Bombyx mori: one gene and its partner. The protein of the gene in region 1 purifies or fractionates together with the protein of each later gene. This does not show direct contact. Links are inferred from orthologs where the notes say so. Each region holds a gene or a part of one and is shown in the gene's direction. Other genes may lie near its edges. The genes, in order: RCC1-like G exchanging factor-like protein; pseudouridylate synthase TRUB2, mitochondrial.

Region 1 (3,514 bases):
GGAGTAACATCTCGTAATAGAAATCAAACTCGGTTTATACTAACGTATTATTGGCGGTAGGATAGGTATTTGGGCTCACGAGGCATGCAGAAGGTTCCACCATCCTGCCTATTTCAGCCACGAACCAGTAATGCGTTTTGTTTTGAAGGGTATAGGAACTGTTGTACTTTAAAACTGAGCTTAAGAATTCATGTCTCAAGGTGTGTCCCGTACAGTATGTTTTATTACACAATGAAATTTGTCTGAATCAAAATTATGCCATCCATAAATTAATACATTCCAGTCTGTTCATAACAGAGTCTGGTAAAGTGTACGCGTGTGGGTGGGGAGCCGACGGTCAGACCGGACTGGGAAACTATGACAATCGATCCACTCCTACCGCTGTCATAGGCGATATCACCACGGAGAAGATTGTCAAAGTCGCTTCCACTGGAGATTGTGTTTTGGCTTTGAACAGTGAGTTTCAGACAATTTATCAGTATTATATTATGACTTAAGATGTAATATGGCTAAAGTAAATGAAATGTGATACTCCTTAATTTAATACAGGTAGGTACCACCACCTTGCCTATTTCTGTGAAGCAGCAATGCGTTTCGGTTTGATGGGTGGGGCAGCCTTTGTAGCTATACTTGAGACTTTAGAACTTATATATCAAGCTGGGTGGCGCATTTACGTTGTGTATGGAGTCTATGGACTCCAGTAACTACTTGACACCAGGTAGGCTGTGAGCTCGTCCATCCATCTAAGCAATAAATAAAAAAATAAAAAAATACATGACACATTTGTACATTAAATTAGGGTTTATAAAGCAAATATCCATATTCAATATTATAAATGCGATAGTGTTTGTTTATAGTGTTTGTTTTTTACATTTTCAACTCATGTATTGCAGAATGTCTAACTTACGGTGCTCATGTGAATTAGTTGCTGGAATCTCACAGTAATGATGAACGGCTGACAACTTTTAGTGTGAGGTCGGGCGAAGTCTCAATTGTGTGGTATTGTCCGTTGGCTACGCGGCAGCACTGTGCTCTATACTAGAGCGAGCTCACCTACTCGCCCTGTTTAAATTTGTAATTTTACTGATTTTATTTCTACTCCACATTTTTCGTAAAAGTTGCAGTTTTACAAAAAAAATATTAGATAAAATTCCTTTGATACGAGAACGCCGGGTATAAAATCCAATCTGTATAATAATAATAATAATATGTCTACAGACAAAGGAGAACTGTTCGGTTGGGGCAACTCTGAGTACGGGCAGATCCCGATGGCGACGACACAACACCAAGTCAACACGCCCTACGCGCTCCTCAACTTCACCAGGGGACTCGGCAGGATTGTGGACATCGCGGCGGGAGGATCCTTCTGCATGATCGTTAATGGTTGGAACTATAACATTTCTTTTGAAATTATACTTCTTTAGGCGTGTTATGAAAAATTGATGAGAGTGAAATTTTACAATGCGCGCGCACCGTGACACAAAATTAACCGAATGGAGTTGCCCACTAAATCGCTCATTACAATACGACCGACGTAACTTGGCGAGTCTGAATATAGCCGCAGGTGAACTTTCGCGCATGTACACTAGTAATAAAATGTGTTATTAGCATTCATTTTTTAGTAATATAAATGACAAAATTATCATTTAATATAATTCATACTAAATATTATTAAATTATTAACGTTAAATATTTATTATTAATTATTTATTAATAAAAAAAAAAAAGTAAATTTAATAAAAATAAAGTATAATTTCTTACGCGCGTACATAAGTACACGCACCCTTTTTAATTCATTGCGGATGTCTGTCTGTCAGAGTATATCGACAGACGAGTTTACGGCCCGCTTTATATTACCGTCGCGCTCGACATATTGAATGAAGAAACCGAGTACTGCTCTTTACACTGTGGTCCTAAACTGGAACGCATGACTGCTTCATAGCAGTAATAGGCAGGATAGTGGTGCTGGGAAAATAACATACATAATTAACAATGAACCGATATTTCTAAGCAAATTGATGTCCATGAACATTAGATTAATGAACCTAACCTAAACGTCAACCCGCTGAGTTTCTTGTCGGATCTTCTCAGCGGGTTGCGATTCCGATCCGGTAGTAGATTCATTCGCGAAGCAGTTACTATTGAGTTGTTAGATCTCTTTCAGAGGCGCTCGGGTAGCTGTTAGCAAATACTACCCCTCCTGGCTGAACCCTTGCTCGCCCGCCTGCCCTGGTAAAACTGGAAAGGCCTCCGGCCCACCAGTAATCTCTCAAACATAAAAAAACTAGGTTAATGTATCAGGTGAGAGAGGTGAGAAGGCAATCTCCTCCCGGTGAAGGTCACAGTGCGACCTGAGAGGATCGATGCTGCGCCGTACGCTACCGTCACTCCAGCACGTTGGGCCCGTGGTCCGCTCCCAACATCTGCAGACCGTTCAGTCCCACATACACAGCGCGCCCTCTAGGCGCGTGGAACTCGTAGAAGGGTCAGCACGGCCAGAAAAAAGCTATCGAGAGGGAGACTAGATTACACTTCGACTAGAGGAACTGAACTTGTTTTATAAAATATTTACTATTTTACTTCCTTTTCAATATCTTTCACAGACCAAGGAGATGTCTTTGTCTGGGGATTCGGTCTTCTAGGACTTGGACCAAACGTGCAGCACACGGCGACACCTAAACAAATACCACCAACATTGTTTGGCCGAAATGAATTCAACCCTGAGTGTGTGGTTAAAAAAATTTCCTGTGGAATCTCCCATCTCGCAGCTGTCACTAATAATGGTGATCTTTACATGTGGGGCAGGAATAGGCAAGGCTGCCTCGGTTTGGGCAATACAAATGATCAGCATTTTCCCTTAAAAGTGGCGATTGGTGCTCATGTACTTAAAGTGGCTTGTAGTGTGGACCATTCAGTTGCAGTTTGCAAACCGTTTGTTTAGTTAAGACAGTTCTAATTATTACCTAATTTAGCAATAAAATATTTAGTAAAATTCTTTTTGTTTTTATTGTATTACTAGCTGACGCGGCAGACTTCGTAGTGCCTTAATCGATAAAATATATAAGACCTAAGCTTTTGTATAAAATTAACTTAAAGCAATCAAAAGGGATCCGTCCGACGGGGGACACATCGAAGGATAAAAAAAATTGTTATTTTCATTTAATTCCGAGCATTTTCATATTTGTCTACCTTTTAAACCTTCTCTGGACTTCCACGAATAATTCAAGACCAAATTGGTCCAGCATTCTCGAGTATTAGCAAGATTAACGAACAGCAATTCATTTATATATATATATTAATCTAAAGTTTTTGAGAGCCTCTAAACATTTTTTGATAAATTACGATATCTTAGAGTAGTCTCTATTTGTGTCATAATAATTTGGATTCATTGTTAATATGCTGCAAATTATGAGCTCTAAATTAGATAATCTTTTGCATTCTTGTATCTTGATTAGTTCTTCAGTTCGTTTGTTGGTAATGTCTGTTTCAACTGAATAGTGAAATAATATTTTTT
Region 2 (3,935 bases), on another chromosome or scaffold:
CTGACATGTTGAGTAAATCGTGACGACGTGACAATGACAATTGACATTTATGATCACAGATTATTTGAAGAAACAATACATAGAACAAGGTATGTCAGCTGTTCTTTAGTGCTAGTACTTATACCATCTGCCTTAGTATTTAATAAAATAAGAGTAAAATTAATACAAAAAAAATTGTCTCCCGAAGTTTAAGATACACATTTACAAATACTCCAAAATTATGTATTCAAAATTTTTATTGTAGTCATGTACAAAAGTTAGCAATGCCTACCTCCGAGTCATCATCATCGTCATAATGAATACCTCCGAGTATTCTTGTGAAACCACGTTTGAACAAAAAAATGAAAAAGTTTAGTTTTGAACGCCTTAGGATTTTTGAAGTGAAACTTCCTTATCGGCGTTGGAAAAAAATTTACCGTCACATTTTTCGGTTACGCGTCACTTTTTTCCGTTACGCGCCATCTGTTTTGTATTCATGTCTATGATAATAAAATCCTTTTGTTTAAACTTTATCTAATTTAACTTTTTTGTATTCATGTCTATGATAATAAAATCCTTTTGTTTAAACTTTATCTAATTTAACTTTATTTAACCAATTTCTAGAAAGTTGCATGTAGATCATTTTTCGAAAAATAAGGCCATAAACAAGTTTCACTTCTTACGTGTGTACACTAGTACACGCACACATTTTTTTGTTTAGTGCTGGCATTGTCAGTATTCCACCAAAATCACTTGGTTTCCGGCTATCAACAGCTCCCTCTGGCATGAACGTTACAATAACAGCTTAAATAGAAAAAAAATCGTCAAACATACAACTAATTAGGCAATCTCTATTTTCAGACGAATCATAAAAAAACTCCATAATAGAATAAAATTAAAACAAAAAAGTATTTGCGTGAATGGTGATCGCGCACCGAGTGACAGCTTTTTTATGACTCCCAGAAGGTGATCCGACAATATACTAACACCGGTCACTCACATGCTCACGAATACGCAAACCCGCAAGTGTGGGACGACATTTGCGAATGATTATGCAAAGTTTTCGCTGCATTCGTGGTTTTCCAAGCTGTGTCGGTTTTTTAACAGACATCAAAGCGCGCGAACCTCGAACCTTCGCGTAGTCTCCCACACATTCGCTTGCCCAGTTGCGCCGACGATTGCGAAGGTAACGGACGTATACTATACGCCATTTTCATAGTTCGGGACGTCTACTGTGTAGCGTATCTTCATCAAAAGAAATCCCATAAAAACAGCATGGCTGTTAATGATGTCTGGGAAAGAATTAAAAACTCTTTTTCTCTTCAATGTTCTATTGACGAATTAAAAAGGAGGAGAAATTCGTGAGACATTCGTAAACAAGTGTAGAAGGAAGCGCAAACGGGTTCGCAAATTGAGTATGCGAACCCATTTGCACAGCCGCGCCGCTAGGTTTGCGAATAAATGTTTGACGGCCCTTCACATGCGCGCAAATATTCGTACATTGTACGAATGTCAGTGGCCGGCATAAAGGTCGCGGGAATCCAGTGGATGTTATCTGTAATGGACCCCTGTGTCCAGAAACCGACGTTTGTTGGTCTCATGATAAAGAAGATATTGCTAATAAATAGTAATGCAGTGTAATTTAAAAAATGATGTATATTTAACAGAACGTGTATTCAACAGTCTTCTGACAATATTTAAATTATTAAGTCATAATGGAACGTTTTAACAACATGAAGTTCTCGAAATGCTCCCATAATTATTTAATTTTCAAATCGAGAAAGCTGTGTGTGCTACTCTCCCTTTACCAGTTCAATTGAAAAAATCAAACCGAAAACGAAGATGTTTTGAAAAATTTGAAGTTTGATTATTTTGTTCAACTGAGAACTTTGTTGGGAACTGGCATGATAAATGGCGAAATTATGTACTGGAGCATTGGCGTATAAAGCTTTAAATGGCTTGGTTTGTGTTTACAAACCACCATGTGTCACCATTAAACAAGTGCAGCATACAATTATAACTCATTTATGTAGAGGTTAGTTTTCTAACTAATGTTAAATCTCACGTATATAACTAAACAATATTATACACCTCACCTAGATTTACTTTAATCGTAAACGAATATAAAATTTAAAGATTTTGAATTCTCGATGTCAAAGATATTAGTTGACGAGAGACGATCTGACCATAAAAATGACCAAAGCCCATCCAAGTTGAAGCAAAACTATTTTTTTTCCAGACTTGAATGCATTACCAAATGGTCCTCAAGAGAAAAGAGTGGAGATTATAGGGGCCACAAACGAACCGATGAGTGTGTGTTTGGTGCCTAACTATGCAGACAACCCTCTAGCCTGTGGTCCTAGGTTCATAAACGAAGACTTTCGCTGCAGCTGGGCTACTCATTTAGGGTTCTTCAGCAGTGGAGTTCTGTGTAAGTTAACATTTATGTGAAGAAACCTACCTCGAATACAATGTTACTTTTTTAAACTTATAACACACTAAAAATTTGAGGTTCTTTTCAAATGGTGTCCAACCAGGAAATTTGTTCACTTGTCTGAGATCAATGACAACATAATAACTTAATTAGCTTGGTTTATTGAGATCAGGCTACCAACAAAACATATATAAATATAAATTAGATATATATATGTATTAATTTAACTTCTTTTGGTTTGTTAGTGAAAATTTTTTTAGAGAAGAAAATATTTCACTATCACTATATAATTTCACTAAGTGTGACAATTGTTATTTTTTTGCTTTTAGTGTTAGGCATTAATGAAGGTACAAAACTGACCTATCTGTTGAACACAGCAAGACTCCCAAGAGCATACAAACTTCATGGGCAACTTGGTAAAGCTACTGACACATATTTTTGGAATGGCAAGACTGTTGAACGTTCTATGCACAAACACGTTAGTCGAGAGAAGATAGACAGAGTAGTTGCCCATATGCAGGCAGCACACCAAAAAGCTATGTATGAGTAAGTATACATAAATTAGATGTGTAAAATCTTCAGGATAGATTCTTCAGCATAAATTACAAGTACAAATTTAACCGTCACTATTTACAACTTGACTAATGATCTAGTCCAGCCATTCCATTCTGTTTTTATTATAAGCATGAGTAAGCAGATTAGCAGTAGCCACTGATACACTAGATGCTTGATCATTATATATGAAAGTGAAAGCCTGAATATACCTACACCACATTATCAAAGTACATAAAAATGAAATTAAAAAATAAAACAAGCAGATAAAAAGTGTAATTTTCATTTGCATATACTGACAACACTAAGTTTGTCCATAATTTCTTTTACCTTTCAGGTTATCGGGTGTACACATGGATTCTCAGACAATGTATGATCTAGCAGTAGAAGGACCAATCAGACCGGCTAACTCCAAAATTCCAGTTCTCTATGGCATCAAATGTGTCCATTTTGATTCACCTAATTTTACTTTAGGTTGTATTACAATTAACTTTTAAATCATACCACATTGTTTATATTTTACTGCTTCACAAGGAGAAAAAAGCTCACATGATGTTAAATGGTTACCTGGGCCCATAGATAGCTCAATATAAATACCACTACCCACCTCAACATTTCTCAAATGATTTGCAAAATGACCTTCCCACTCTTTAAGATGGAATTGCATTACTCCTTCACATCTAAAATAAAGAGAGTGCAATAATACCTAGCCATATGAACTCACTATACACTGCACTACTGTCTGGAAGGATCATATTTTTGTTCTGGTTGTCTAAGAGCACAAAGGAGATCTTTAACTCTTTATGTTTCAAATATTGAAATACAATAAGCCTTATTTGTTAGACAGAAAGGGCAGATACTAATCCAAAAATATAACAATTTTTAGAGATACATGCTGTCAATGAATATGAAAAATACCTGTGGACTCTAGTTCATGACCTTGGAGTACAACTAAAGACATCTGCTCACT

Evidence for each region.
Region 2: the proteins of RCC1-like G exchanging factor-like protein (region 1) and pseudouridylate synthase TRUB2, mitochondrial purify together in Homo sapiens (affinity purification with mass spectrometry; 3 studies listed by BioGRID and IntAct, with this or other methods). This does not show direct contact. The link is inferred for Bombyx mori from reciprocal best matches to the Homo sapiens genes RCC1L and TRUB2.

What each region holds. Positions count from the first base shown.
Region 1 is NC_085111.1:18,484,099-18,487,612, reverse strand, and holds the end of RCC1-like G exchanging factor-like protein, read left to right. Parts: intron 1-283; coding exon 284-456; intron 457-1,218; coding exon 1,219-1,383; intron 1,384-2,603; coding exon 2,604-2,941; 3' UTR 2,942-2,992; downstream 2,993-3,514. UniProt on the Homo sapiens protein: Guanine nucleotide exchange factor (GEF) for mitochondrial dynamin-related GTPase OPA1. Activates OPA1, by exchanging bound GDP for free GTP, and drives OPA1 and MFN1-dependent mitochondrial fusion. Plays an essential role in mitochondrial ribosome biogenesis.
Region 2 is NC_085121.1:543,219-547,153, forward strand, and holds the start of pseudouridylate synthase TRUB2, mitochondrial, read left to right. Parts: upstream 1-1,541; 5' UTR 1,542-1,890; coding exon 1,891-2,014; intron 2,015-2,218; coding exon 2,219-2,410; intron 2,411-2,742; coding exon 2,743-2,959; intron 2,960-3,302; coding exon 3,303-3,439; intron 3,440-3,851; coding exon 3,852-3,935. UniProt on the Homo sapiens protein: Minor enzyme contributing to the isomerization of uridine to pseudouridine (pseudouridylation) of specific mitochondrial mRNAs (mt-mRNAs) such as COXI and COXIII mt-mRNAs.